Saccharomyces cerevisiae S288C: one gene and its partners. The gene in region 1 interacts genetically with each later gene. Each region holds a gene or a part of one and is shown on either strand. Other genes may lie near its edges. The genes, in order: NBP1, PAU9 and NOP9.

Evidence for each region.
Region 2: mutations in NBP1 (region 1) and PAU9 together harm fitness more than expected from each alone (negative genetic interaction), as found in Saccharomyces cerevisiae (one large-scale study listed by BioGRID).
Region 3: mutations in NBP1 (region 1) and NOP9 together harm fitness more than expected from each alone (negative genetic interaction), as found in Saccharomyces cerevisiae (one large-scale study listed by BioGRID).

What each region holds. Positions count from the first base shown.
Region 1 is NC_001144.5:1,053,508-1,064,598, forward strand, and holds NBP1 (Nbp1p), read right to left. Parts: upstream 3,265-11,091; coding exon 2,305-3,264; downstream 1-2,304. Other genes in the region: PDP3 (Pdp3p), read left to right, coding at 122-1,036; YLR456W (pyridoxal 5'-phosphate synthase), read left to right, coding at 1,563-2,177; GPI-anchor transamidase subunit GAB1, read left to right, coding at 3,827-5,011; YLR460C (uncharacterized protein), read right to left, coding at 6,250-7,380; seripauperin PAU4, read left to right, coding at 9,412-9,774.
Region 2 is NC_001134.8:1,927-12,327, reverse strand, and holds PAU9 (seripauperin PAU9), read left to right. Parts: upstream 1-4,594; coding exon 4,595-4,723; downstream 4,724-10,401. Other genes in the region: putative Rab GTPase-binding protein SRO77, read left to right, coding at 1-1,481; MIX23 (Mix23p), read left to right, coding at 1,777-2,367; YBL111C (uncharacterized protein), read left to right, coding at 7,319-8,112, 8,212-9,421; YBL112C (uncharacterized protein), read left to right, coding at 9,429-9,746; YBL113C (uncharacterized protein), read left to right, coding at 9,670-10,401.
Region 3 is NC_001142.9:413,165-424,547, reverse strand, and holds NOP9 (RNA-binding RNA processing protein NOP9), read left to right. Parts: upstream 1-4,985; coding exon 4,986-6,986; downstream 6,987-11,383. Other genes in the region: CTK2 (Ctk2p), read left to right, coding at 439-1,410; YJL007C (uncharacterized protein), read left to right, coding at 1,536-1,850; chaperonin-containing T-complex subunit CCT8, read left to right, coding at 2,885-4,591; DNA-directed RNA polymerase III subunit RPC17, read left to right, coding at 9,778-10,263; VTC4 (Vtc4p), read left to right, coding at 11,149-11,383. UniProt on the Saccharomyces cerevisiae protein: RNA-binding nucleolar protein required for pre-rRNA processing. Component of the 90S pre-ribosome involved in production of 18S rRNA and assembly of small ribosomal subunit. Component of the pre-40S ribosome required for release from the nucleolus.

The DNA of each region.
Region 1 (11,091 bases):
AAGCATTCTTTTAGGACCTACAGTCGTTGCTCCTCCTGGCTTTTTTTCCCTTTTATTTTTTTCTGTTTTTACTTCCATTTCTTTTGTGATATTAGCTATCCCTGGTTTGGTCCGCAAGTTTATGACAAAAGATATTAGAACAGGCGATTTAGTGTTATGCAAAGTTGGCTCGTTTCCACCTTGGCCAGCTGTAGTATTTCCACAGCGTTTGCTGCGAAACGATGTATATAGAAAGAGAAAATCCAATTGTGTTGCTGTTTGTTTTTTCAACGATCCAACTTATTATTGGGAACAACCCAGTAGATTAAAGGAGCTAGATCAAGACAGCATTCACAATTTCATATTAGAACATAGTAAAAATGCAAACCAAAGGGAATTGGTCAATGCTTATAAGGAAGCAAAAAATTTTGATGATTTCAACGTATTTTTACAAGAAAAGTTTGAAGAAGAAAACAGGTTAAGTGATCTAAAAGCGTTTGAGAAAAGTGAAGGTTCTAAAATCGTTGCCGGAGAAGATCCCTTTGTAGGTCGAACAAAAGTAGTGAATAAAAGAAAAAAAAATTCAATATCCATCAAAGAAGATCCGGAAGATAACCAGAAATCAAATGAAGAAGAAAGCAAACCGAACATCAAACCGTCCAAAAAAAAGAGACCCACAGCTAATTCGGGAGGAAAATCAAACAGTGGCAATAAAAAGAAAGTTAAATTAGACTATTCCAGAAGAGTAGAAATTTCACAGTTATTTCGCCGCAGGATTCAAAGAAATCTAATCCAGAGAGAAACACCTCCTACTGAGCATGAGATCAAGGAAACTCATGAACTATTAAATAGAATATATGAGAATTCTGACACCAAACGGCCCTTTTTTGATTTGAAGGCCCTACGCGAAAGCAAATTACACAAGCTACTGAAAGCAATTGTTAATGATCCTGACTTAGGCGAATTTCACCCACTTTGTAAAGAAATTTTACTGTCCTGGGCAGACCTAATCACAGAACTGAAGAAAGAAAAGTTGCAAGCGCTACCTACGCCTTGATAATAATACTTATTGAATCAATTCAATATATCAACGTTTCAATATCCAATATTGTTTCATTTCATTTCATTTCAAATAAACAGTGTTTTACCGTTTGTTTTGTTTCCCTTCTTTTTTTCATCAAATGGTAATATTAAATTGATTTAATTATCCATCCATAAAAATTGTATTAATAAGTCATACACGTAATGTCACAACAAAATATCAGGCGTACTCTTGTGACGTACCAAAGCGCTTAGAAACGATAAAGGCCCGGGACAGAAATTTAAACGTCACAAGTGGGTGCAGCCCAGTTAACACTAATGTTAACGCACTTCTAGATACCTCATATATATAAATATTATCTAGAATTTCAAATTTGATATTCCTTTTCTATACTGAATAAACGATAAATACGAAGTTCAGAGTGCGAAAATTAGGGTTGCAGGCGTCTGATCTGAAAAACGTATAATTGATAGTGAAAATTATGCAACATTCTGCAAAGGAAAGTAAACCTTAAAAAAACAAATCTCTCAAGCCTTTAAAGATGAAACTCAATGAACAAATACCAAAAGACCTGTTACGCCTGATTAAAAGTTCCAAGTATGTTCATGTGGCGACATGCTCGTCAAATTGTATACCATCTGTTTCGTTGATGCATTACATATTTGTTTCATCCGCGGAAACTTTCCATAAACATGAGTATAGTATAGAAATAGATTGTAATGACTATATTATATTCACAGTGTTCGAGAAATCAGTAACCTTTCGTAATGTCATGAGCAACCCAAACGTTGCATTGCTATTTCACGATTGGATCACAGCTAAAAATTTAACTCTTCGAAAAAAAAGCGTCCATAGTAAAGATGATTTTTCATTTGTTGAGTCAGAGTCTACAAAATTTAACAACTTTTTACGAGATTTGAACCAAAGTGAATTGAATCAAGTGAGCGCTACTATCAATGGTATTGCTGATATTGTGAACCCTAATAGTGAAGAATCTACTTATTATAGGCGGTTGTTATTAACAGTCAATCCAGACGCAGATATTTTTATACTAGGAGAAGATACAGCCATAATAAAGGTAAATATACAAAAAATAAAAGTCTCTGACATGGAAAATAATACTTCTACATACGGCCAAACAGTACAACCAGTTTAACGGAAATATGATGAAAACTATGTGTACTCTAATTATTATATAAAGCATCTATAAAATGAATCATGAGGATTAGGCCGTGATCTTCGCGCTCCATATATGGAGAATACTTTTAATTTCACAGGAGAAATTAAGATAAATAACTTGAAAAGTCCACTGAGATTGGTGAAAGTGTTTCATCCTCTTTTTCAGTTTCCCTTGAACGATAGGGTGGAGTGGGACAGGCGGGAGATATGTTTTCCTGTAACGGCTGCATCTCTGGTATATTTCCATCCCGATTATATGTTTTCATGGGGCTGGAAGTGAATAATGAATTCGTTCTTCTTATTGGAGACGGGGAAAGATCAATTTTCAAGGGCTTAATCTCATCGTTTTCTCTAGCTAGATTAGACATGGTTCTCCTAGATTTGGTGTATGATGGATGAATGTTTGAAGAATCTAGTAAATCCTCCAAAATCCTGTACTTCTCATTTGAGTAATTCAATGCTTCTTGTAATGATTGTAGCTTGCTTTCCAAGGCTTTTATTTTCTCATCTCTTTTCTTAATTTGCCGCTGTAGAAGAATTTCTCTATCTAAGTATAATGATTGATTTCTATCTTTTCCACTCGACCCGTCAGAACTACCACTTCTTAGTTCACTGATCCGTTGCTTATTGTATTTCAACTCCGATATCTTTCTCTTAAAGGCATCACTCCTTAGGATCCTAGATTTGGCTGTATCTGTGTCCATATAAGAAGGTCTTCCCTGGGATCTCTTCTTCAAAATTCTAGTCATGTCGCCACAAACATTTTGCATCTTGCTCATATTTTCATTATCATTGGAAAAAACATCTCTGATTGTCTGGAATATCTTTGTTAACCTTCGTTTGGGTGTTTTCCTCCTGTTAGTACGAATTTTTTCTTCAGTTTTCCTATCTGTCACCTTTCTAGGTCTTTTTAGAACGCTTTTACCCGTAGGACGCATCTGCTTTCTTCTGCTCCTTAAGGCAGATCGTTTTCTCACTTCATCAAGGGACCCGTATTCTCGTTTCCTGCCATCATCTCGTATTCCAAAAAAATCTTTCCACAGTCCCTGTACGGATTTTAGCATATTACCAATGTCTATTATTGTACCTTTCTCTTCAGAGTATCTACTTGTTCATGTTCAGCAATAATTTCATAATTGTTGATGCGCGCATCGTTTCTATACTATGACGCGTCACGAATTGTGCTAGAGTGGCCTCTAATGAAAGTATAAGAGGCGTTGGCGAAGGTCAAGGATAGACCATTGGCTGTTTCGGATGAGTTATTTTTAAAGTGTAAAGGTATAACATCAAATGAATGAAAATTAACATTGATCTCAGCTCTCAATTTCTTTCCTCATTTGTTTTCGATGTTTCTATATGAGTATACATTAAACAAGTAAATCTCAAGCTCTTGTCAAAACAGTTATTTCCAACATATCTATCTGCATTATTGGTAGCATAATTCTCAAAGGAAGCTAAAACATCCTTCTTAAAGACGTCTATTGGCAAACGATATGTTACGTATTCCGGGTAAAACAAATATTCCATTAAGTGAAATGACCTTTGTTTTCAAAACTAACCAGTTTTAGAACAGTAATTCATATAAACAACGTGATCTTATATGAAAAACTCACCAAAAGGAGACCAATGGATTCCACAGCACTTAAGGTAGCTCTAGGCTGTATTGCAATTCGTTTGGCTGTGAACAGCCTTTTTCCCTCTCTACAACAACAACTGGACCAGTCTGTAGAATTCTCAACTCCCGTAACTTCATTTAGGTCACTACAGGAAGGTATATACCTACTGCGGAACAACATCCAAGTATATAATCATGGGGTTGTTCACCATCCTCCAATTTTGATTTTTTTTCTTTCCCTCTTTAATTCCGACAGGTTAATTTCCCTCATATACGCTTTAATTGATGGATTAATTGCGTATCAGCTGACAGAGGTAACAAAGGCTTTCAAAAACTTGAAACTGAAAGTTTGGCTACCTGGACTTCTTTATGCCGTGAATCCTTTGACCCTTTTATCGTGCATTAGTCGGTCATCAATCATATTCACAAATTTTGCTATTTCATCGTCATTGTATTGCATATTAGCTGAAGGAAACGTTCTTTTGTCCTCTGTTATGATTTCTATATCTGGATATTTGTCAGTATACCCTATTCTCCTCTTAATTCCGCTATTAGGTATGCTGAAAAGTTGGAGGCAAAGAATATTATCTGCCATTGTTTCCATACTATCTTTATTAATTCTGCTATTATTCAGCTACAGTATATTAGGCAGCCAAAGTTGGTCATTTTTGACACAGGTTTATGGATCTATTATAACCTTTGAGAAGGTTTTTCCAAATCTGGGTTTGTGGTGGTACTTCTTCATTGAAATGTTTGACACCTTCATACCGTTCTTCAAGGCTGTATTCAACATTTTTATTGCAGTATTCATTACACCATTTACTTTGCGCTATCATAAGCAGCCATTCTACGCATTCATTTTATGCATTGGGTGGATTGTCCTTACAAAGCCATATCCCTCACTAGGTGACGCTGGTTTTTTCTTCAGCTTCCTACCTTTCTTCACGCCACTATTTGGATATTTAAGATACCCCATCATATCAGCATTACTGTTTTTACACGCAATTGTTTTGGCGCCAATTTTCTATCATCTTTGGGTTGTTTTAGGTTCAGGGAATAGTAATTTTTTCTATGCTATTTCCCTAGTTTATGCTCTGGCTATAGCATCTATATTAGTTGACTTGAACTGGGCGATGCTGAGAATTGAATACGATAACGGTATCCCAAATTTCAAATTGAAGGTAACACAAATTTAACTACTTCCCGTCTATAAACGTACATAAACTAGAATAAAAAGAACCATACAGATGTTCATCGTAAGAGTGGATAAAGCGAATATGAGAGCCATATTGGTTATTCCAGAGGCTATCTATTTTTTAAGAGAAACTGCTTGGTTAAAATTTGCATAATATTGTCTCGGAGAGAAAAGATAGAACTCAGAAGGACCTAATTAATCATGAGCGTTATAATACGAAGAATTGAGATAGAGTGTATGATCTGCGGATTAAGCTCCTACATAATAACAACATTGTACTTGGGACTATGCCAATTTCTTTCCCACCAAAAGTCGTATGAAAAAGGTTATCTTCGCTAGGGCTTCCATTAGGTGAAAGCCAATATATTATCATAGAATAGCACGGCATAAATATATATTTTGTGCTGTCTTTTTGGGAAGGGTAGTTTGACAACCCATGTACATTAACATAAAAAGAGCTTTATCATTAACGGACGAAGAAAGAATGTGTATCGCGTATTTTTAGACTATCGATAATCTTTTTTAAAGTTATGGTAGATAGAAGATGGAATCAGTTACGAAGTGATGAGTTCCCATACATTCCAGCCTGTTTACATTAGCTAATTTAAAAAAAAAAAACATAATTAGAATATTACGTGATGACTCAGTTTAAACGGTACTCTGTAACACATCATTTCTATTTGTTGTTCTAAAACAGGTTCTACATATTTGGATCTGCTGTGAGAATGACCTAAAAGGTAAAACTCTCTTTGTAATAATCCAAGGAAAGTGGGAGTTCCTTGGGGAAGCTCTATTGCAATATATTGTAGTTTCCATTCAGCCTGCTTATCGCCTTAGGAAAAAGGAATGTAAGAGGCAGAAAAGTGCGGCGCAATCGTTCGGACAGCGAGCCGCCATTATAGGTAAGAATACTTAAAGAGCTTCGCCGGATATTATTACAGTGTATTAAATTTCGCCAAGTCTTTGCCAATGGAAATGGGTGCATAAATTTATGTGCTTGGTACATATGAGTTCAATAGATATGTAGTAGTTGGATAGTAGATAGTTAGGATATATAATCATGGAAGGGTTACTCACAACGAATCACATAATGAGTTATGATTTTCACTGTGCTCATCTGTTGCCCCTACAAGGGGTGATCAATAACAAACAATTTCATTAAAAAAAAAAAAAAAACTAAGTCACTATAACTAAACGTAATAACTATGTATATGAAAGAAAATAATATCTGTTCGTCATCTAGTTTAATACGGCAACGAGTTTTTCACCAGAGTTCTTACCATATTTGATGTCTTTTAGGATATGAGGAACATCACAAAGCCCGTTCTTATAGACCCTTACTGGAATATGGCGAATTTGTCCATCATTAATCTTTGGATTGATGAATTTGATAAATTTTATTGCAGCTTTCCTAGCTTCTGAGTCGGCTGGTAAAGTAATGTTTCCAAATGGTACTTCATGGCCACCTATTGAATATAGCCTTATTATGTCAATAGTAACGTTTTGTCTCCTGTTCTCTTTTTTGACGTTTTCTTCTGTCAAATTTTTTAATTCAACAATTGTAGCATCCTGTTTATCGGCCGCACATTTGTACACTTGTTGAAGCGTATCTTGATTCGCGACACAGTCGACTAAATACGAGATATTGTTGTACTTGTGTTTAATTTGTTCTACCACGTCAATATCATGATAATCAAATAATTCATCAGCACCATATTCTTTCAAAAGTTTTTCGTGCTTCCGAGAAGCCACAACAATGATCTTGGTGAAGCCATTCAATTTATTGGCTAATTGGATGAGCGACTGACCTACTGCAGTTGCACCGCCCCATAATAAGATGGGGCCTTTTCTTTGTGGGGTTGATGGCTCCCACTTCAGGTCCAAGCCCAAGTTATAGGTCAACACCAAGCCGGCTGTGGTCAGTGACACTGGGATAGTGGCTACACCTTCCAAAGACCTGACAGGGCCGGCAGGTAGAACATCCTCACCCAAAAATTTGAGTTCATTGGGTGATTTGTAGGCAACCACAGTTGAAATAGCAGAATATTCAGCAAAAGCACCATTGGAAGGAAACCTTACGGAAGATCCGTGAATGAACCCATAAATATAATCACCGATAGAAAAGTCTTTAGGATTGACAGCTGGGCCCAATTTGACAATTTGGCCAGCAGCATCACATCCCAGAATAGATCCTTGAGGCCCGATCTTGTAGTCAATGTGTGCCCAATCAGTGGGGTTACCAGCAACAGCGAGTGTCTTAATCAATACGAATCCTTCTTCCAATTCAGGAATGGGAATGCCCTCTTTAACAACCGCTTTACCGTCTTCAATGACGACAGCCTTCATGGTTTCTGGAATTGCAACTTGCATGTTTGTAGGTTATCTGTAATTGTCGTTGATAATCTGTATTCAGCTTGCCATTTTATAGAATATGGTTAGAAAGATCTTAAGCTAGATAAAGAAAAAGAAAAAAATAGAAAAAAGCCTGCCCGCTTTATAAGAACTTTTCTCAATATCTGTTGAGGAACACTTAGTAATATCGTCTATCATGGTTGCTTTATTCTTAGTGATATTACTCTCTGGGATTCGATGTGTTCTCATCATCTGAAGGGTTTTCTATGTGTTGAAAGCCTATCCCACTAGACGGAGCCGCGCGTCAGCCGGGCGGATCCGAGACATCTTAGTCAGCTGAGACAAGAAAGGCACAGCTCTCGGACAGGAACTGCTGTCATATGAAAACCTAAAAATGTTTCCTGGAAATTCCATGACTGCGCAAAGTTTGATACGTTTATTGTTCTTCTCCACTACCGCACTTTCTATCTCGGAAACCTTTCAACTAAATGAACTATTGTTAATTGTATGGCGTGTGGCCTTTCTATTTCAGAAAATTTAGAGTAAAGTAAACTCCGTCGGACTAGTATAGTAATGAAACAAGCCATTGACTCTGCAGCATATTGCGACCAAAACCTGGAAATTGGTGGCTATGAGTTTTAATTTATAATTATATGAAAACAAAGCTTGGAATGCTGAGTACTTTTTCTTCAATGCTGCTCACTGCCCAGAAGCGTTCAGAACAACTCTACTGGAGCCATTCTGCTTGAAGGAGGATAAAAATGCCAAGATCAAGTCTTTTAAAGATTCTATCCCTTTTCATCGAAGAAGCACTACAAGTTTATTTTACAGAAGTTGACAAACTGTGGAACTTGATCCATACTGAATAAGTATGGAAAACTGTTAACTTAGAGGATGCTCTGCTTTCTAAAGAAGTTTCACAGCTTTAGACTCACATGGGTTCTCATGAGTATTGCTAGCTAGTGCGAGTTTGATCTATACTTCACAGACTTTTAACACCCCGTTCCTTAAGTTTTCCCTGATTATCAAGGGTATTTCCAATTCTTACTCCCCACTATCGCTCCTTTCTTATCTGAATTGTATTTTTGAGTGGCCTAATTGTAATCTTTTATTTTGTTTTCTAATTATTGAAGGCGGTTTCTCGAAGCATTTCACGATTTCCAAAATTCAAGAATTGAAATTATGAACATAGAAGACAAAATACTTTTTTTATCAACTATTAATACACCTTTCCTAGAGAACATTTTTAAAATAAAATAAAATAAAGTAGCGCTCTCTACTACCCTTACACTTTTCTCCTTCATATCTGGCTAGAAAAGAGGGATTACATCTCGGAATCAAATATTTCCCTCTGTGCAAAGTTTTAATACTGCTACTACGAACTGGTTACAATTTTATTTTTATCATACACGATACTTTGAACATCAACTTCTCTCAATACCATCCGCCTTCAGCGGCTACAATTACGTAATTGCACCAAGGCATTCGCCGAGAGTTCACAAATTGCAGACCCTAACAGTATACGACTCCCAACACACGTTTAATGTTGTACGAATTCAAGAGATAGAAATGCTTCTTCCGCGGAAGCCGTTTAAAGCACTGAAATTAGGCTTAGACAATAGACTTCTGTACGAGGGTCCAAATCTAAAATTCAGATATTCTTTTTGACCGAAAACGGAAATCACAGGCGCGCAAAAGGGTTTTTCAAGGTACCCCGGCATCCCTATAATAGGCATTCCCACATTCTGCGCATACGAATACACATGAGTGCCATAAAACAATACTCCACATACGAAGTCTATGAAAGATGTATGATTCGTTCAGAAACAAGAGCATTTCCATACTGATAATGAGATTGTGTGAAAGATGAGATATGGAGGATATGTGAGGTGCTAAATGAGCGTCTGTTAACGAATCGTTTAAATAGTGATGACTGATGAAGGCATGGGTATAAATAGAGCTGCTTCAACTGTATGCCTTTGAGAATATGTCTTTATTCCTTTCTTTCCTGTTAAGCTTATATCAGCACTAACAAACAAAACAAATACAATGGTCAAATTAACTTCAATCGCCGCTGGTGTCGCTGCCATCGCTGCTACTGCTTCCGCAACCACCACTATAGCTCAATCTGACGAAAGAGTCAACTTGGTTGAATTGGGTGTCTACGTCTCTGATATCAGAGCTCACTTGGCCCAATACTACATGTTCCAAGCCGCCCACCCAACTGAAACCTACCCAGTTGAAGTTGCTGAAGCCGTTTTCAACTACGGTGACTTCACCACCATGTTGACTGGTATTGCCCCAGACCAAGTGACCAGAATGATCACCGGTGTTCCATGGTACTCCAGCAGATTAAAGCCAGCTATCTCCAAGGCTCTATCCAAAGATGGTATCTACACTATCGCAAACTAGGGACGAGTGCCTCTACGAATGAAAATTCATAGACAGTAAAAAGTAATGAAAAATAAAATAAAAACTACTTTTTTTTGATGATATAAATACCGTAGATTATATAAATGTATATTAATATTATAAACCTATTTGATCAATGACAGTGTTCGTGAAGCATTTTATGAATACGATAAACATAAAAAGAAACTTTTACACTATTCTAGAAAAAGGGTGGATGGTAATAAAGCTAATAGAGTATGTCCAATAAACAATAATGAAATTGGAAGCGCATGACTTCTCAGCACTTTGTCTTTCCATAAAAATGAGTCGCTGCTTCTTTTTTCATTTTTTGGCGCGTCGCGTCGGGCCGTATAGAATATGCGTCACTTCTAAGAACAAGATTGCAGATCAGGGCAGTGCGAGTTACGGAGTCATGGTATCAAACTCTCATTTAGAGACCCTCATTTTTTGACACTGAAAATATCAAAATTTCTGGGTTGCGATAGTTTTTGTGTAACCGTAACCAGAAATAAAGCTGAAGGGTTAGTGTTCTATCAACAATAAGATAGAGGGTGGTAAGATGAAGTGAGACAATATCGTAACGTCCGTTTCAGTATACGCCGCTGATAAGTTATATTACCGTAAAATTATTTGACATTTCGTTATAGATCCTATTAAATAACGTACCTATCACAGTATCGTCTTGTTCAGATATAGTCTCTTCGTATGAGTAGTGTCACATACAAGATTAAAGATGCATCAGTTATGCTTTTAGGATATTGCGGATAGCATATGGGAATGGAAATAGGATACAATTTTATCATAGCACCCGCATGAGTGTCAACACAGTACCATATTATAGCACAGTGAATGGAGAGTGTTACGACAGTGAGGTAGCATATTATTCTAATGTATGGTCTGCATAAGTACGAAATATTCTGAAATGGCATCCGTTCAAGCAAACTGCAATATTAAGGAACTTTTACGTTAATGACGTCATGGTAGTGTTCATACTCCAAGTCAATATGTTTTTGTATTATTGTTGAAGAATAGAATATTTTTATGTTTAGGTGATTTTAGTGGTGATTTTTCTGTAATATTGGCATAAGTGTATTTAAATTGAGTGGTTAGTATATGGTGCAAAAGTAATATAACGTATGTATTAAGAGCATTTTTACAATATTCGAGGCCACTGAATGAGATATAGATATTAAAATGTGGATAATCATGGGATTTATGGGTAAATGGCACAGAGTATAGACCGCTGAGGCAAGTGCCGTGCATAATGATGTGAGTGCATTTGGCACTGATTTAGTGAGAGATGGGCCATGGAGTGGA
Region 2 (10,401 bases), on another chromosome or scaffold:
AAAATATCTCCTTTGCATCGGAAACATTGGAATTGGCGGTATCATCTGAGGTTGGGGATGTTATTCTTTTCAAATTCGAAACAAACAAGTTTTACGGACAACTTCCCAAAAGCGATGCACTGCAATTGAAGTTTAGCAGATTTTCATTGGATGATTCAAAAACTATTTTAGTTGATGTTTCGGATAGAGGGCCTACGAACGTTAAACAAGGCTTTATACCAAGTACGGTAATACATGCTAAAAAAGGTGCGGTGTCCGCAATCATGAATAGTAATATCGGGTTCGTTGCCGTTGGTTTCATTGAAGGAACCTTAATAATATTGGACAGAAGAGGCCCGGCTATAATCTTCAATGAAAATATTAGGGTCATTTCTAAAGCTGGTAGCTCTTACGTTTCAACCGTTCACTTTTGCGTCATGGAATATGGAGATGATGGGTTCTCTAGTATTTTGATGCTATGTGGAACGGATATCGGGGAATTGATGACTTTCAAAATACTGCCTGCAACTAATGGAAGATTTGAGGTTAAATTCACTGATGCAACAAAGACCAACAATCAAGGAAAAATTCTAGGAATAAATTCTTTTGCCAAAGATACTGGCTACAGTTGTTCTGCTACTATATCAAAGATGCAGGGTTTAAGCAAGGGTATCGCAATACCTGGATTTGTTACTATCAGTGGCGCAAATGACATTCGTTTAGTATCACCAGGTAAATCTAAGGACACTCATGCGCTTTTCAAGTATCCAATTGCCACTAGTGGATTATCATTTATTCCCATTATTGACGGTAAAGGAGAAAGAAAGCTTTCAACTATTATGATCGTTTTGCTAATTAATGGAGATATTAAAGTTTTGACAGTACCTGAGCTTAAGGAAGTCAAAAATCTACGCTGCCCGGTCCCTCTAAGCGCTCAATACGTTGAAAATTCATCTATATTAGAAAATGGTGACATTGTCATTCGCACAGGGAAATTCCAAGCCTCTTTGATTTCAGTACTTAATGAAAGTGCCACCGGAACGAATCATACTGCTGACATATCACAACATACTCCTATTGATACCTTGTACAATCCTGATTTAAAGATTGGTTATAGGCCTCAAGTGAATTCCTTACAATGGGCTAGAGGAACTATTTATTGCACACCATATCAACTTGATGAGCTACTGGGCGGTATAGAAAGGCCCGAATCGAAGTATGAGGAAAGCGCAATTGCTCGAGGATGCATATCTTCCAGTAGTAGTAATGCAGCCAGAAAGTTACCTCCCGGTACGGAAGATCACAGGTATGCCAGACCTGTAAGAAGCTCTGGAAGAAGTAATGGATATGGTGTCCTTAAAAGTGTTTCTAGGGCAATTGAAACTCGTTTAGACACGGTAGAAACCACTATTAATGACTATGCAACCACAATGGGACAAACCATGAATGACGCAATGGAAGAAACGGGAAGGGATATGATGAAGAGCGCTGTAGGTTTTTAGTCCATAAATAGTTTTTATAAAATTCGATCAGGTTGCCCTTGCTCGCATAAGAATTTTATCAGGCTCTAGACTCTAAGATAGGAGGCTTGAAGCGATTTTGTTGTTGATAAGTGAAGTTTTACACTATTCCATATTGTAGTTTACTTTTGCTTGTTACCCAGAATCGCCTATATATTCACTTTTGAACGTGACGGTAATTTTGTCCGCCAAGTTAAATATCCTTTGGGTAGTTTGAAAAACTTGGATATAGTTAGAAAAAAAACTTCTCATTTATACACGTAGACAAAAAGACGGTATGGTTGATAATAGGCGTACGTTTACGGCACCCCAAAGCTTACTTGAAACAAATCTTACTTTTCCGAATGATGAACCGTCACTTACTACAATCACAGTTACGCGAGAAAGATGTGTTGATCCAAGCTTGATAGATTCATTTTTGAGGTTTCTAAGGCATGGAAGTGATGATATAATAAGACAAAAATTAAACAACTATAGGAAAGGCTCTATTAATGGAAAAAATAAGTGTAAGGAATTTTTGAAGCAAGAACTATATCCGAACTGGCAAATACGGAATAATATAATTTCATTTTGCGAAAAAGAGGCAGCAGAGATGAAGAACGAGACCGATCAGCAGTGCGGTAATAATAAAAAGACTACTGCGGAACCACTTATAGACGCAAGAATTGATCCTTACGCTGCAAGAGAAAGAGCGGAGAAACAGGAAGCTCAATATAAGGATTGGACGAAGGTGACAGAGTGGGTGGCAAATAATAGAAAAATAGAACAAATTTTAACTTCTACAACAGAGGGCATTTTAAGGCAAAACTGCGAGCAAAATAATGACTACTTGAAGGAGTTTACGCAATTCTGCAAGGACAACAGTTGAACGCCCTATTCTTCTAGTCCGCTGAAAGATTATATCACTTAAAGATTCTTGTACATAGGAAGTATACTTATTATCGCCTTTCGTTTATCTGTATTTGTTAAAAAATATGCTCCAACTTGTGTAGTGAAAGAGATTTTTTTGCTAAAACCATTATTGCTGGATGCAAAGGACGCCATGAAGAAAAACTTACTTAGTGAGCCGCTTTTTGGCTTATTAATAATTCTTCTTCTCAAACTGCAATTGCATTTCCCTATTATTCTAGTTAATAGTACGTTAAATCATCAAAAAAAATACTGAAGGATGCGAGGTTCGAACTCGCGCGGACAACCGTCCAACAGATCTTAAGTCTGCCGCCTTAGACCACTCGGCCAACCCTCCACGAATTTTCTAAACCTTTCCGGTAACCAGTTAAATACCCTATTTTACCCGAATCCTCAGAGTCTGTGAATAATTTAATAATCTTTGAGATTCCATTGTTGGTAAGGGTTATACTGTTATGTATACAATTTACTAGAAGCTCTCGTCGATGGTATTGGTGTAGAGAATGTGGATTTTGATGTAATTGTTGGGATTCCATTGTGATTAAGGCTATAATATTAGGTATGTAGATATACTAGAAGTTCTCCTCCAGGATTTAGGAATCCATAAAAGGGAATCTGCAATTCTACACAATTCTATAAATATTATTATCATCGTTTTATATGTTAATATTCATTGATCCTATTACATTATCAATCCTTGCGTTTCAGCTTCCACTAATTTAGATGACTATTTCTCATCATTTGCGTCATCTTCTAACACCGTATATGATAATATACTAGTAACGTAAATACTAGTTAGTAGATGATAGTTGATTTTTATTCCAACAATTGGAATCCTCAAAATGGAATCGGTATTTCCACATAATAGTATTACTACTTTTTTTTTTTTTTTTTTTTCATTTATACTTTGTCATTCAGTATCCTGTTACATTATCAATCCTTGCATTCCAGCTTCCATTATATTTGAAGACTGTTTGTCGATCTTTATGTCATCTTCTTTTTCGGCATGTGATAATATACTGGTAACTGGAATACTACTAAAGGAATGATATTTTAGAGTTTCATCCCAACAATTGAAGAGACGTGACTAATGCTATGTTAAAAAATATGTGGCAGCTAATAACATCATACCATCCTATCATAATATTGTTATCTGTCGTTGCAAACTGCAGATGTGTTTGAAAATGACTTTTAAGTATGTGCCCTCGTTGCCTTTTGAGCGTAAAAAAAGTCACTTACTCCTGCAGAGGGGTTAACTACGCTATAGACGGGCCTTGACACATTTCATAAACACATATTTTCACATGTCAGGAATTTTCTTAACTATGCACTTTTGACGCCTTGCGTATGTTTATTCTATTTACAGCTTTGATGATGCGTACAAGTCTCTAGAATCTAACAATATACGACTCCCTGCACATGGTTGCTATTTTTTATTCAACCTTCAGGAATGAGTAACAAAGATGTTGCTTTGCATGGAAACCGTTTAGGACACACCAAATGATGGCTTAGACAGTAAGCTTCTGAACGAGGGTCCAAATCTAAAATTCGGATATTCTTTTTGACTGAAAACGGAAACTTAACAGGCGCGCAAAAGGGTTTTTCAAGGCACCCCCCGGCACCCCTATAATAGGCATTCCCACATTCTGCGCATACGAATACACATGAGTGCCATAAAACAATACTCCACATACGAAACCTATGAAAGATGTATGATTCGTTCAGAAACAAGAGCATCTCCATAGAGATAATGAGATTGTGTGAAAGATGAGATATGGAGAATATGTGAGGTGCTAAATGAGCGTCTGTTAACGAATCGTTTAAGTAGTGATGACAGATGGAGGAACGGGTATAAATAGAGCTGCTTCAACTATATGCCTTTGAGGTATGCGCTTTCATTTCACTATTTCTTGTTAAGATTACATCAGCACTAACAAACAAAACAAATACAATGGTCAAATTAACTTCAATCGCTGCTGGTGTCGCTGCCATCGCTGCTACTGCTTTCTGCAACCACCACTCTAGCTCAATCTGACGAAAGAGTCAACTTGGTGGAATTGGGTGTCTACGTCTCTGATATCAGAGCTCACTTGGCCCAATACTACATGTTCCAAGCCGCCCACCCAACTGAAACCTACCCAGTCGAAGTTGCTGAAGCCGTTTTCAACTACGGTGACTTCACCACCATGTTGACTGGTATTGCCCCAGACCAAGTGACCAGAATGATCACCGGTGTTCCATGGTACTCCAGCAGATTAAAGCCAGCCATCTCCAGTGCTCTATCCAAGGACGGTATCTACACTATCGCAAACTAGGGAGTGATGCCTTTACGAATGAAAATCCATAGACAGTGAAAAGTAATGAAAAAATAAAATAAAAAACTACTTTTTTTGATGATATAAATACCGCCGATTATATAAATGTATATTAATATTATAAACCTATTTGATCAATGACGGTGTTCGTGAAGCATTTTATGAATACGATGAACATAAGAAAGAAACTTTTACACTATTGTAGAAAAAGCGTGGACGGTAATAAAGCTAACAGAGTATGTCCAATAAACAATAATGAAATTGGAAGCGTATGACTTCGCAGCACTTTGTCCTTCCATAAAAATGAGTCGCTGCTTCTTTTTTCATTTTTTGGCGCGTCGCGTCGGGCCATATAGAGTATGCGTCACTTCTAAGAACAAGATTGCAGATCAGGGTAGTGGAGTTACAAGTCATGGTACCAAACTCTCATTTGGAGATCCTCATTTTTTGACACCTAAAATATTAAGATTTATGGTTTGGGATAGTTTGTTGTAACTGTAACTAGAAATAAAGCTGAGGGGTTAGTGTTTTATCAACAATAAGATAGAGGGTGGTAAGATGAAGTGAGACAATATCGTAACGTCCGTTTTAGTATACGGCGCTGATAAGTTATAATATAGTAGGGTTATTTGACGTTTCATTATAATTCTACAAAAACAACGTACATATCACTGTATCGTCTTCTTTAGATATAGTCTCTTCGTATGAGTAGTGTCACATACAAGATTAAAGATGCATCAGTTATGCTTTTAGGATATTGCGGATAGCATATGAGAATGGAAATAGGATACAATTGTATCATAGCACCGGCATGAGTTTGAGCCACTACCGTATTGTTTCTCGGTGAATATAGAGTGTTACGACAGTGAGGTGGCATATTATTCTAATGTATGGTCTGTGAAAGTTAGAAATATTCTGAAATGGTATCCGTTCAAGCAAATGGTAATATTAAGGAACTTTTACGTTAATGACGTCATGGTGGTATAGATACGCAATTGAGTGTGTTTATTTCGTAAAGTTGAAAGATAAATAATTTTTATGTTTAGGTGATTTTAGTGGTAATTTTTTGGTTATATTGGCATAAGTGTATATAATTTGAGTGGTTAGTATATGGTGCAAAAGTGGTATAACGTATGTATTAAGAGCAGTTATACAATATTTGGGCCCGCCGAATGAGATATAGATATTAAAATGTGGATAATCGTGGGAGTTATGGGTAAATGGCTCAGGGTATAGACCGCTGAGGCAAGTGCCGTGCATAATGATGTGGGTGCATTTAGTACTGATTTAGTGAGAGATGGGTCATGGAGTGGAGTAGAATGTGAGAGTAGGGTAAGTTTGAGAGTGGTATATACTGTAGCATCCGTGTGCGTATGGCATATCAGTATACAAGTGAAGGTGAGTATGGCATGTGATGTGTGGTGGTATAAAGTGGTAGGGTAAGTATATGTGTATTATTTACGATCATTTGTTAACGTTTCAATATGGAGGGTAGAACAACAGTATGGTGAGTAGCAGATGGTGGATGGTAGAGTAATGGCAGGGTAAGTGGTAGTGAAGTTGAATATGGCTAATTGGAGGGTAACGGTTATGGTGGACGGTTGATTGGTGGTAGTAAGTAGAGGGATGGATGGTGGTTGGGAGTGGTATGGTTGAATGGGACAGGGTAACAAGTGGAGAGGTAGGGTAATGTGAGGGTAAGTTGAGAGACAGGTTGGAAGGGTTGAAATAGGGTAGGGTTAGGGTAGTGTTAGGGTATATATATATGTCACTGTATTGCATGCTGGATGGTGTTAGACAAGGCCGTAGGGACATATAGCATCTAGGAAGTAACCTTGTACGAAAATAGGCAATATTTCCTGTTTAGGCGATTGTGACGCAGATTTTAGTCCAACGATCTAGCGTCAAGGAATTTTTTTATAGTGGGACATTGCACCAAGGAAGTAACTTGATACGTCGTGGGTGAATGGGTCTGTTTTCTTATTCGGCGGGGTAATACATTTTTGGGGGAAGTTTGTCTGTCTGACGCGCCATATGTAGGTACGCCAAAAAGGGCTCCTCTACTTCGAAGCGCGAGGTCGTATACCTAATAAGGAAATGTAATTTATAACTTTTTATTATATTGGTCTTTTCGAGAGCGGAACGTAGGTCCATGTTTAAAGTATCCAAGAGAATATCCACGAAGCGGCTGAGCAACGAACAGAATCCTGGTTCTCCTCGACTAAGCAGATAGTTAAGATACTGTGCACCATGGAAATTGAAAACGAAAGTACGTACCGACTACTTTATTTTTGCAGGCCGGAAATCAAGCGATGAATGAGACATCCTTCTGTTTTCTATGTTGTGCTTGAAGGGGACAGACAGTCGCTTATCTTAGTGAGATTTCTTATTAACTGAATTTTCTTTGCTGCTGCTGGAGATTTGCACCTGCATAGCGCAGATTCTGCTTCTTCTCAATAGAGTAGCTTAATTATTACATTCTTAGATGATGATAAGACGGAAACTGGACAATCTTTTGTTTATATTGATGGATTTCTTGTCAAAAAGCATAGCAATCAACATACTATTGTTAATTTCGAAACTTACAAAAATAAAATGAAAGTTTCCGATAGGCGTAAGTTTGAAAAAGCAAACTTTGACGAGTTTGAGTCGGCTCTAAATAACAAAAACGACTTGGTACATTGTCCCTCAATAACTTTATTTGAATCGATCCCCACGGAAGTGCGGTCATTCTACGAAGACGAAAAGTCTGGTCTAATCAAAGTGGTAAAATTCAGAACTGGTGCAATGGATAGGAAAAGGTCTTTTGAAAAAATTGTCGTTTCCGTCATGGTCGGGAAAAATGTACAAAAGTTCCTGACGTTTGTTGAAGACGAACCAGATTTCCAGGGCGGACCAATCCCTTCAAAGTATCTTATTCCCAAGAAAATCAACTTGATGGTCTACACGTTGTTTCAAGTGCATACTTTGAAATTCAATAGAAAGGATTACGATACCCTTTCTCTTTTTTACCTCAACAGAGGATACTATAATGAGTTGAGTTTCCGTGTCCTGGAACGTTGTTACGAAATAGCGAGTGCCAGGCCGAACGACAGCTCTACGATGCGTACTTTCACTGACTTTGTTTCTGGCACACCTATTGTAAGGAGTCTTCAGAAAAGCACCATAAGGAAATATGGATACAATTTGGCACCCTACATGTTCTTGTTACTACACGTAGATGAGCTATCGATTTTTTCTGCATACCAAGCAAGTTTACCTGGCGAAAAGAAAGTCGACACAGAGCGGCTGAAGCGTGATCTATGCCCACGTAAACCCACTGAGATAAAGTACTTTTCACAGATATGTAACGATATGATGAACAAAAAGGACCGATTGGGTGATGTTTTGCATGTGTGCTGCCCAAGTTGAGAAGAGATACTAACAAAATGACCGCGGCTCTCAAAAATAATTGACGAGCTTACGGTGATACGCTTACCGTTATCCAGAGCTACAGCGCAACGTATACGTCGACGATACAACAAGAACGGTTCATCGGAGCCTCGACTAAAGACGCTTGACGGACTCACTTCCGAGCGCTGGATTCAATGGTTAGGCCTTGAAAGCGACTACCATTGTTCATTCTCTAGTACTCGGAATGCGGAAGACGTAGTGGCAGGTGAGGCGGCGAGTTCAGATCATGATCAAAAAATTTCAAGAGTAACGCGAAAAAGGCCCCGAGAGCCCAAGAGTACAAACGATATCCTCGTCGCAGGCCGGAAACTCTTTGGCAGCTCCTTTGAATTCAGGGACTTGCATCAGTTGCGCTTATGTCATGAAATATACATGGCAGACACACCCTCTGTGGCAGTACAGGCCCCACCGGGCTATGGTAAGACGGAGTTATTTCATCTCCCCTTGATAGCACTGGCATCTAAGGGCGACGTGAAATATGTGTCGTTTCTGTTTGTACCGTACACAGTGTTGCTTGCTAATTGCATGATCAGGTTGGGCCGACGCGGTTGCTTGAATGTGGCCCCTGTAAGAAACTTTATTGAAGAAGGTTGCGATGGCGTTACTGATTTATACGTGGGGATCTACGATGATCTTGCTAGCACTAATTTCACAGACAGGATAGCTGCGTGGGAGAATATTGTTGAGTGCACCTTTAGGACCAACAACGTAAAATTGGGTTACCTCATTGTAGATGAGTTTCACAACTTTGAAACGGAGGTCTACCGGCAGTCGCAATTTGGGGGCATAACTAACCTTGATTTTGACGCTTTTGAGAAAGCAATCTTTTTGAGCGGCACAGCCCCTGAGGCTGTTGCTGATGCTGCGTTGCAGCGTATTGGGCTTACGGGACTGGCCAAGAAGTCGATGGACATCAACGAGCTCAAACGGTCGGAAGATCTCAGCAGAGGTCTATCCAGCTATCCAACACGGATGTTTAATCTAATCAAGGAGAAATCCGAGGTGCCTTTAGGGCATGTTCATAAAATTTGGAAGAAAGTGGAATCACAGCCCGAAGAAGCACTGAAGCTTCTTTTAGCCCTCTTTGAAATTGAACCAGAGTCGAAGGCCATTGTAGTTGCAAGCACAACCAACGAAGTGGAAGAATTGGCCTGCTCTTGGAGAAAGTATTTTAGGGTGGTATGGATACACGGGAAGCTTGGGTGCTGCAGAAAAGGTGTCTCGCACAAAGGAGTTTGTCACTGACGGTAGCATGCAAGTTCTCATCGGAACGAAATTAGTGACTGAAGGAATTGACATTAAGCAATTGATGATGGTGATCATGCTTGATAATAGACTTAATATTATTGAGCTCATTCAAGGCGTAGGGAGACTAAGAGATGGGGGCCTCTGTTATCTATTATCTAGAAAAAACAGTTGGGCGGCAAGGAATCGTAAGGGTGAATTACCACCGATTAAGGAAGGCTGTATAACCGAACAGGTACGCGAGTTCTATGGACTTGAATCAAAGAAAGGAAAAAAAGGGCCAGCATGTTGGATGCTGTGGCTCCAGGACAGACCTGTCTGCTGACACAGTGGAACTGATAGAAAGAATGGACAGATTGGCTGAAAATCAGGCGACAGCTTCCATGTCGATCGTTGCGTTACCGTCTAGCTTCCAGGAGAGCAATAGCAGTGACAGGTGCAGAAAGTATTGCAGCAGTGATGAGGACAGCGACACGTGCATTCATGGTAGTGCTAATGCCAGTACCAATGCGACTACCAACTCCAGCACTAATGCTACTACCACTGCCAGCATCAACGTCAGGACTAGTGCGACTACCACTGCCAGCATCAACGTCAGGACTAGTGCGACTACCACTGAAAGTACCAACTCCAACACTAATGCTACTACCACTGAAAGTACCAACTCCAGCACTAATGCTACTACCACTGCCAGCATCAACGTCAGGACTAGTGCGACTACCACTGAAAGTACCAACTCCAGCACTAATGCTACTACCACTGCCAGCATCAACGTCAGGACTAGTGCGACTACCACTGAAAGTACCAACTCCAGCACTAATGCTACTACCACTGCCAGCATCAACGTCAGGACTAGTGCGACTACCACTGAAAGTACCAACTCCAACACTAATGCCAGTACCAATGCGACTACCAACTCCAGCACTAATGCTACTACCACTGCCAGCACCAACGTCAGGACTAGTGCTACTACCAATGCG
Region 3 (11,383 bases), on another chromosome or scaffold:
AACATCTATTTCCTAGGATTTTTAAATAAGATGGAGGGTTGGCCGAGTGGTCTAAGGCGGCAGACTTAAGATCTGTTGGACGGTTGTCCGCGCGAGTTCGAACCTCGCATCCTTCAGTATTTTTTGTCCTTATCTTTTTGCTGCACCGAAAGCACTCATGAAGTCTACGGCTTGATGCACACCGTTTGGGAACCTTTGCGATCCCACGTACCTAAATGGTCCTTTTCGGTACAACTTGCTGAAGAATCACTGTGTGGCGGGTAATGCTCTCTTTATACTTGCATTGCGAAAATCCGCGATGATCAAAAATCCAAACAAGTACTGTCCTGAAAGCCGTCTTTATACACATAGATATATATATATATATATATATATCTGTATCTATAGAGCGAGAGGAGATATAGAGCCAGCAAAACTAAGAAAATTACGTACTTTGATATGCCTAGCACGTTTGAATCCCAGCTTTTTTTTTCGAGACCGTTTCTGTCTAAAAGGCAAATTCAAAGAGCCCAAAAGAATACAATATCGGACTATCGAAATTACAACCAGAAAAAACTTGCCGTGTTCAAATTTCTAAGTGACTTGTGTGTTCAGCTGAAATTTCCACGGAAGACTTTAGAAACAGCAGTATACTTTTACCAAAGATACCACCTCTTTAATCGCTTCGAGACCGAGGTTTGCTACACTGTAGCGACAAGCTGCCTGACTTTGGGCTGTAAAGAAGTTGAGACAATTAAAAAAACAAATGATATATGTACTTTGTCATTACGATTGAGGAATGTGGTTAAAATCAATACGGACATTTTGGAAAATTTTAAAAAAAGGGTATTTCAAATAGAACTTCGGATATTAGAGTCATGCTCATTCGATTATAGAGTCAACAATTACGTTCATATTGATGAATATGTTATAAAAATTGGTAGGGAGCTATCCTTTGATTATAAGTTGTGCAATCTGGCTTGGGTAATTGCTTATGATGCTTTGAAGCTAGAAACTATTTTAGTCATACCCCAACATTCCATTGCATTGGCCATTTTGAAAATAGCATATGAATTACTAGATAATAAGAATTGGTCAAGTAAAAGGTATTCTTTATTTGAAACAGACGAGAAATCCGTAAATGAAGCTTATTTTGATATAGTCAATTTTTACATCAATTCATTCGATATGTGCGATCTACAACGTCATTTACCGGCTGATTTGCTGCCGATTGGCGTTGAAAGGTTTATGGAACTGAAAAAAAACGCAGGACCAGAATCTGGATTGCCGCAAATACCAGATCACCTGTTGAATGCCGATCCTTATATCACTATTACTAGAGATAATAATGTCCAAGAAAGAAGATATGTACTTTCACTGGAGCTAATTAATGGCGAGTCCAGCATAAATAGTTCTACAAGACATGCATAGAAAGTCCTACTATAAACTTAAATAAGATCATCATTATAAACTTTCTTTTACACAAGTAATAAGTACCTTTTTTTATCTCAAAACATGAATGTTGAGCTTCGAGGTTTAATTCACAAAAAAAGAAAATGTGCTCCAGGGGAGGTTCGAACTCTCGACCTTCAGATTATGAGACTGACGCTCTTCCTACTGAGCTACTGAAGCATACAAAGGATGTTGGGGAAGAAAAACAAACTTTACATCAAATATTTGCGGATTCCATGGTTATTAAAGGATATAGCACCGGGTATACAGGACATACTAGAAGTTCTCCAGGGGATCTTGTAATCCACAAAAGAGAATTGATATTTTCACATAATATTGTCATTATTGTTTCCCCAATTTATATGATATCATTCATTATTCTGTTACACTATCAGTCCTGGCATTTCAGCATCTATTAAATCTGATGACTGTTTTCTCAATCTTCATGCCATCTTGGTACATCGTACATGATAATATATTAGTAATATGAATACTATTCGATAGATTATAGTTGATCCTCATTAGGACATCTATCGTAACAATGGGAATGTTCATATCATACATTAATTTATACGAGTTGTTCAGACAGTAGTATAAGGCAAAGATCTTTTACTTGAAAGGTTAACTTAAAAATTTTGGATATAGAAGTCATTATACTAGGCGCGTAGTATTTTACTGATGTGTTTCCAAGCTAGGGCATACTGAATATGTTCTCTGGGCGCGTGTTTATATGCTTTTCTTATATACAATAAGAAAAGTTTACTTCTATTCTCGGTAAAAACATTCTTACGGCTTGACCACTATTGATGGATATGGTTTATTGCTCATAGGTAGAGGTCAAAAAGCTTTATTAATGAAGATTGAATATCGATCTTCTTAGACTTATATAAGGGGGATATAAAACACACGCCGATTGGTTCATTCCTAATTGTGACCAATGTAATAGTGGTTCCGGCAGTTCTCATACATTTAATGTGAAGACCTGTATTGCTCATATATATGACTATCAGATCATATTCAAATAATGGATTTTTAATTCTGCTTCGGTACTGTCTGAACTGCTTCTTGAACATTTCCTTCTGTAATAGGTACATTGACAGACATATGCGTGGTGTATACTAGCATAAAATGTAAGCATCGAAATTGTTACCAATTGAATTCATGTTGATATCTAATGATCACTTGTCCGAACATTTTGTATTATTAATCAATAAAGAAGCTGCCGGATTTAGATAATTAAAGAGTTGCGAGCACATTTACTATTTCAATAGCTTATTTTATATAAGCCAAGTTAATGGTGTTTTTGTCATTATTAACGGTATTCGAAAATGTTCATCACCTCCGCTAGTGGCAAAAAAAAGTGAAGAAAATAGTATAGCATGATGATGTTCTCACTTTACAGATACCGACAAGACAACTTGAACCTCAAGGGCAATAAAATCATCAATTAACCATGTCACTTAGATTGCCACAAAATCCCAACGCGGGATTGTTTAAACAAGGCTACAATAGTTACTCTAACGCCGATGGCCAAATTATTAAATCAATTGCGGCCATTCGCGAATTACATCAAATGTGTTTGACTTCTATGGGACCCTGTGGTAGAAACAAGATCATTGTTAACCATCTCGGTAAAATCATTATTACCAACGACGCGGCCACCATGCTAAGAGAACTAGATATTGTCCATCCTGCAGTGAAAGTCCTCGTAATGGCGACTGAACAACAGAAGATCGACATGGGAGACGGTACAAATTTAGTCATGATTTTGGCTGGCGAACTATTAAATGTGTCCGAAAAACTGATTTCAATGGGCTTGTCTGCCGTTGAGATTATTCAAGGTTATAATATGGCAAGGAAGTTTACTTTGAAAGAACTAGACGAAATGGTTGTTGGTGAAATTACTGACAAGAATGATAAAAACGAACTTTTGAAAATGATTAAACCAGTCATCTCCTCCAAAAAGTACGGATCTGAAGACATATTGAGTGAACTTGTTTCTGAAGCTGTATCTCACGTTTTACCAGTTGCTCAGCAAGCTGGAGAAATTCCTTATTTTAATGTTGATTCTATCAGAGTAGTAAAGATTATGGGTGGATCGCTTTCCAATTCTACCGTCATCAAAGGTATGGTTTTCAATCGTGAGCCTGAAGGCCATGTAAAATCATTATCCGAAGATAAAAAGCATAAAGTTGCAGTTTTCACTTGTCCGCTTGACATAGCCAATACTGAAACGAAAGGCACTGTTTTATTACATAATGCACAAGAAATGCTCGATTTTTCTAAGGGCGAGGAAAAGCAAATAGATGCCATGATGAAAGAGATTGCCGACATGGGCGTAGAATGCATTGTTGCAGGTGCTGGTGTTGGTGAATTGGCGTTACATTATTTGAATAGATACGGTATACTAGTCTTGAAGGTACCAAGCAAATTCGAATTAAGAAGATTATGTCGCGTTTGTGGGGCCACTCCATTGCCTAGATTAGGTGCGCCAACTCCAGAAGAATTAGGTTTAGTGGAAACTGTTAAGACAATGGAGATAGGTGGTGATAGAGTAACTGTGTTCAAACAAGAGCAAGGTGAAATTTCAAGAACATCTACTATCATTTTAAGAGGTGCCACACAGAATAATTTGGATGATATTGAAAGAGCCATTGATGATGGTGTTGCAGCCGTCAAGGGACTAATGAAGCCATCAGGCGGTAAGTTGTTGCCTGGTGCTGGTGCTACCGAAATTGAATTGATTTCTAGGATAACTAAGTATGGTGAACGAACACCTGGATTGCTACAGTTAGCTATAAAACAGTTTGCCGTGGCTTTTGAAGTGGTTCCTCGTACCCTAGCGGAGACCGCTGGTCTTGATGTTAATGAGGTACTACCAAACTTATACGCTGCACATAACGTAACTGAACCTGGTGCAGTTAAGACAGATCATTTATATAAAGGTGTGGATATTGATGGCGAATCTGATGAAGGTGTAAAGGACATCAGAGAGGAAAATATTTATGACATGCTTGCAACGAAAAAGTTTGCTATTAACGTCGCTACAGAAGCTGCAACTACTGTGCTTTCCATTGACCAAATTATCATGGCAAAGAAGGCGGGTGGTCCAAGAGCACCTCAAGGCCCAAGGCCAGGTAACTGGGACCAAGAAGACTGATTTGTTTGCATCTTTATACTTACAAAGTAGATATACCTGCAAACAGCAGAATATAATGTCATAAATTGCAATCAAGTTTTCAAACTTGCTAGGCTGTATCATGTGTACCTGTATAGTAGTAAAGATATATATAATGTTTGAATTTTTGATAATGCAGATGTACTGTATACATTAACCAAGAAGCAACCTGCAAAACCGACGAACTCTTGGCCTGTATATTTGTTCGATGATTGTAATACTTTTTTTTTTTTCAATTTTTTTTCGGTTAGCGAGAATTTTCATGCTCATCTACAATATAATGAAGAAAATTATATTAGATGAGCTGCGATCTGTTACAACTAGTATACTGTGAACGACGCTGAAACCTTCACGGAAAAACCACATTATTGTTATTATGGGAAAGACTAAAACAAGAGGCAGAAGACACCAAGACAAACAGAGAAAGGACGAATTTGAACCCAGTTCAAATTCTGCGAAGGAGCACATCCAGCAAGAAGAGTCTACTTACAATGACGAAGCCGAAATTAAAGAGACTCAGCCACAAATGTTTTTTGGTGTGCTAGATAGAGAAGAACTGGAGTATTTCAAGCAAGCCGAATCGACTTTGCAATTAGACGCCTTCGAAGCACCTGAGGAAAAGTTTCAATTCGTCACGAGCATTATTGAGGAAGCAAAAGGTAAAGAACTGAAATTGGTTACTTCCCAAATAACTTCGAAATTGATGGAACGAGTTATTCTTGAATGTGATGAGACTCAGTTAAAAGACATTTTCCAATCTTTCAATGGCGTTTTCTTCGGGTTGTCATGTCATAAATATGCTTCCCATGTTTTAGAGACTTTATTTGTTAGAAGTGCCGCCTTGGTAGAAAGAGAACTTTTAACACCAAGTTTTGATAACAATGAAAAAGAAGGGCCTTATGTGACTATGGAAAATATGTTTCTCTTTATGTTGAATGAACTGAAACCGCACTTGAAAACTATGATGAACCATCAGTATGCATCACATGTTTTGAGATTGCTAATATTAATTTTGTCTTCCAAGACATTGCCTAATTCAACTAAAGCGAACTCTACTTTACGTTCCAAAAAGTCAAAAATTGCAAGAAAAATGATTGACATTAAAGATAATGACGATTTCAATAAAGTTTACCAAACACCGGAATCTTTCAAATCTGAACTTCGTGACATAATAACTACTTTATACAAAGGATTTACTAATGGTGCCGAGTCGCGTTCTGATATTTCGCAATCTACTATCACCAAATTTAGAGAGTACAGTGTGGATAAAGTGGCTTCCCCTGTAATTCAGCTCATTATTCAAGTCGAAGGTATTTTTGACAGGGACCGTTCATTTTGGAGATTGGTCTTCAATACAGCAGATGAGAAGGATCCTAAGGAGGAATCATTCCTGGAATATTTACTGTCAGATCCTGTCGGTTCTCATTTCTTAGAAAATGTGATTGGCTCTGCCAGGCTAAAATATGTTGAAAGACTTTATCGTTTATATATGAAAGACCGTATTGTGAAACTAGCAAAAAGGGATACTACAGGTGCCTTTGTAGTGCGTGCATTGCTGGAACATTTGAAGGAGAAGGACGTAAAACAGATATTGGATGCAGTAGTTCCTGAATTAAGCATGCTTTTAAACTCAAATATGGATTTTGGTACTGCTATTATCAACGCAAGCAATAAACAAGGTGGTTACTTAAGGGATGATGTCATTGCTCAATTAATACAAAAATATTATCCAGAAAAGTCTGATGCAAAGAATATTTTGGAAAGTTGCCTGTTGTTGAGTGCATCGACTTTGGGCAATACCAGAGATGACTGGCCAACAGCAGAAGAAAGAAGACGATCAGTTTTCTTGGAACAATTAATTGACTACGACGACAAGTTTTTGAATATTACCATTGACAGCATGTTGGCTCTGCCTGAGGAAAGGTTGATACAAATGTGTTACCATGGAGTATTTTCGCATGTTGTTGAGCACGTACTACAAACTACTAGGGTGGACATAATTAAGAGAAAAATGCTATTGAACATACTGTCTAAAGAGTCTGTAAATTTGGCATGCAATGTATATGGCTCTCATATAATGGACAAATTGTGGGAATTTACGGCAAAATTAACATTATATAAGGAGCGTATTGCTAGAGCATTAGTTTTAGAAACTGAGAAGGTGAAGAATAGTATTTATGGCAGGCAAGTGTGGAAGAATTGGAAACTGGAATTATATGTTAGAAAAATGTGGGATTGGAAAAAACTAATTAAGGAGCAAGAATTTGAAATATTTCCAAATTCTAAACCGCTACAGCCAAAGCCAGAAAAGCACTCAAGAGAAAGAAATAATTCGAAGGAAGGAAGCGCCTTCAAAAAGCAAAAGCACTATAGATAATTGGATAATATGTTACTACTGTACTGATGTAAATTATAGAATTATGCAATATTTTCCTCTTAATAAAAAACCTTAGCTTAAACATTATTAAGGAACACTACAAAGAATTTTGCAGATTTTTAAAAGTTGTCAGTTGCTACGATATTGTATGAATAAGTTGGCGATATTTTTTATATTTAGTTTACTTTCCAGTCAATTCTTTCCGCCCTTTGCATCTATAAATTTAAATAGAAGGATAAAAAAGTGGTTATGAATAGGTAAATAATACTAGAGTAGGACGATAGAAGTCTGTATGAGTTACGGAAGCTTGTAAAAAACCTCAGAGATGCTCACAAATTGTGGTATTCTATACAATGACTGCCATCTTTTGATATTTATCGAAAATGTTACCGTCCCACGTCTAGATGAAAACAGTGATAATTTACTACCATGAAAGCAATACGCACATAAAGGATATTAATTTTAGGGTCTCTTGATGCACTATCATGAAATTTGTAACATGCTGACCTCCTAGTATCCCGTGAATATGTATATTTCAGAAATAGCCGAATATTAAGAAAATTGTTCGTATTCCATTGTTGTTAAGGGCTACAATATTAGGGATACAGAACATACTACGAGTTCTCCTCGAGAACATAGAAATCCTTATATTAGTATTAGTAAAGGATTTTATTATTTATTGGTAACTACTAAGTGTATTTATTAAAGATAATATTCAAAAGTAATTGTATTGTTGCGTTTATGAACAGAGTGAGACAAGTATAAGTATGTTATTATAATATCATACATACCATTGAATAAATTATTTTAATGAAATGGTTATGTTTATATACTCACAAGGGAATCGGTATTTCTTACATAATAGTATTACTCTGTCTTCGTTCCTTTTATACATTGTCATTCAACACCCTATCCTATTACATTATCGACCTTGAATTTCGGCTTTTATTAAGTCTGATGACTATTTCTCATCATTCATGTCATCTTCTTACAGATATGATAATATACAAGTAATATGAATGCTAGATGATAGGTAATAGTTGATTTTTATTTGAAATAGAATCTTCAATGATCGCAGTGGATCTTTTAAAAACTTGGCGAGATAGTGGTAGGGTTCAAGAATAAAAGCAGATCTTCTTATACTATACAAAAGAGGTGTAAAACATGCGCCGATTAGTCATATCAAACATGACAAATATAACAATACTGAGACTATTTACTATAGTTTCTATGTAATGACCCATATCCTTACATATACAAACGTCAAGTTAATTGTTCAAGTAACAGATATTTAACTTTACATTATCACATAGTCTATATCGTTCTCCATCCTGACACATCAATGACGTTTGCGTCTAATTGCTTCACAATTACAAATTCATCAGTAATAAAGAATAGTATGTCACTATTCTAACAGATAATATGCCAGTAATATGACTACTGGTCAATATTAAGCATAACTGTAAGACTGGATTTTGTAATGTCACCTATTAGAAAATGTTAGCCTAAATTTTCAACAAAAGTTGAAGCGGTGGCTCAATGGTAGAGCTTTCGACTCCAATTAAATCTTGGAAATTCCACGGAATAAGATTGCAATCGAAGGGTTGCAGGTTCAATTCCTGTCCGTTTCAATTTATTTTTTTATTTTTTTTGCACCATATCGTTCATGGTGATTCTCTCTTTCCTAGCCGCCAATAACGTCGTAACAATACCGTCCTCTTCCCTTTCTCTTGTTGCAGATTAGGTCTGAAACGAGATAAAAGTCTTACAGAGAAGTCGGCAATGCATACTTACTAAGAGCATGCATTCTAAAGTATGCTTCGTGCGTTTTAGGATAGATAAAGTATCATTTAATTCCGCTATTTGTGAATCGTTAAATGTCACAGGCAAATCGACATGTTAATGATCTTACGACAGAGTAGTTTATGCCGAGGGTTACTTATATTTCAACTTGTACATCTCTTAGTCTTGAATATCCGGCACAATTTTCATTATTTTGCTAGTGCGTGGATCCTTTGGCGCTGACACTAACCGGTAAATTGTACTTTCGTTCATCTTTCCTTGTCATAAACTCTTCGTCAGTAATTTCTTTAGCAATAGAAGCTAAAACAAGCTTATTAGCAAACAGTTCGTGTACACAACTATGAGCAATCCATTACATTAAAAGGGTTTACTGTATAATGTTATATATGTAGCATGAATTATAAAATGGTCCTCCCAATCATTTTGATAGGTTATTCTGCGGAATGATCAAGCTTTTCTAGATTCCTTCAGATAATATCATATGTTAAGGAGAAGAACAATTTTGCTTAATCAAACTTCTGGTCACATGAGTTGAACAGAATGTAACCTTTTATTGATAGTCTGCAGTCTGGTTCTCCACGAACTACATATACTATTTCTATTTACAAAATAGTGTGATATTTCACCTTCTATGAGATGAAATACAAAAGAAAGCTTCGCTGCAAGGTTGAAAGATAATTAGCACTTATTCCTTGAATAAGTGGGCAAGAAAAAAATATTAGCCCTGTAGGGGGCTCGAACCCCTAACCTTATGATTAAGAGTCATACGCGCTACCGATTGCGCCAACAAGGCTAATTCGTTGAAAAATCCTTCAATTCCTGAAAATTATACCAAGTAAAAAAAGGAAAATTGCCTGAAAAATTATTTTTTTCAATGCCATCGATCTATGAAAGTTAAGCAAATAACAGCCACAGTAGAAGAGAAGTTGAGTGAATCCAACACCCACCACTGAAAAAATCGACACTTAAACAAAAAACTTTAAACGTTATGAAAGTTCTTGAGGAAAGGAATGCATTTTTAAGTGACTATGAAGTCTTGAAGTTCCTAACAGATCTAGAAAAAAAACATCTTTGGGACCAAAAAAGTTTGGCTGCGCTGAAGAAAAGTCGCTCGAAAGGTAAGCAGAATAGGCCCTACAATCATCCTGAATTGCAAGGTATTACTCGCAATGTGGTTAACTATCTCAGTATAAACAAAAACTTTATCAACCAGGAAGATGAAGGCGAGGAACGAGAAAGCAGTGGTGCAAAAGATGCTGAAAAATCGGGTATAAGCAAAATGAGCGATGAAAGCTTTGCTGAGTTGATGACTAAACTGAATTCTTTTAAATTATTCAAGGCTGAAAAACTGCAGATTGTCAATCAACTTCCTGCCAATATGGTCCACCTTTACTCCATAGTGGAGGAGTGTGATGCAAGATTTGACGAAAAAACAATTGAGGAAATGCTAGAGATCATCTCTGGCTACGCATGAGTGTACAGTGCTTTGAATTGATTTGGACTGGCACTTCCGAAAAACAGAAATTACTTTGTTGTGTAACAATATAACATGTTCAATGAGTATGCATGTATTATTGAACTTAAGCATATAGAAATATTTACAAGAATATACTTTATTTTTTAGAGTTTATTGCGCACACTTTGGGTTAGTCTCGATTTTTTTTATTTCCATTGGAGGAAGGTTATTATTTGGAAATTTAGTGCTGCGTTATAAACGTCTGTAAAGCCAGTACCACAAGCAACTTCGGTGAGATTTAACTTTTGTTTATTCTGTATTTTTGTCGAGGCTTAAAAGGGTATACTAGTTGAGGGCGTTACAGTAATCCCTTCATGGCAAGAATAAAGTAATAGTTATATAATAATTGTCATACGCATTGTTATACCAGTTGACGAGTAAAAAAAGACGCACCGTGACTTCAAGAGCTGTCGCAAACAAGTTCGACAATATTTAACTTATAAACATATTAAAGCTTTCAAAAATATAGTCTTTCGAAGAGCTTTTTCATACTAAGAGAAGCGTTGCTAATATTCCGAATTAATCACGCAATTGCCTCTCTGCTTTCCACGTAACCCATCATAGGAAATTGTATTAATATGTTACTTACTGGAATTGCACAGGAAAACACCGACAAAAAATTGGTTTGTCTGCGTTTTGACGGAGAGCTACTGACTTGTAGGTTCACTTTTTCACACACCGCACTATGCATATATGTTGCATTTTTATTATTCATCCGCACGTGGCTGCACACGTGAATGAAAAAGAAGCAATACTATCTTTATATATTGAGGCAATCAGAAAGAAGTTACAGGCTAACAATCAAATCGGCCAATAAAAGAGCATAACAAGGCAGGAACAGCTATGAAGTTTGGTGAGCACTTGAGCAAGTCTCTTATTAGACAGTACAGCTACTATTATATTAGTTATGATGATCTGAAGACTGAGCTAGAAGATAACTTATCTAAGAATAACGGTCAGTGGACGCAAGAATTGGAAACAGATTTTTTAGAATCTTTGGAGATCGAGTTAGACAAGGTTTACACATTTTGCAAAGTTAAGCATAGTGAAGTTTTTAGACGTGTAAAAGAGGTTCAAG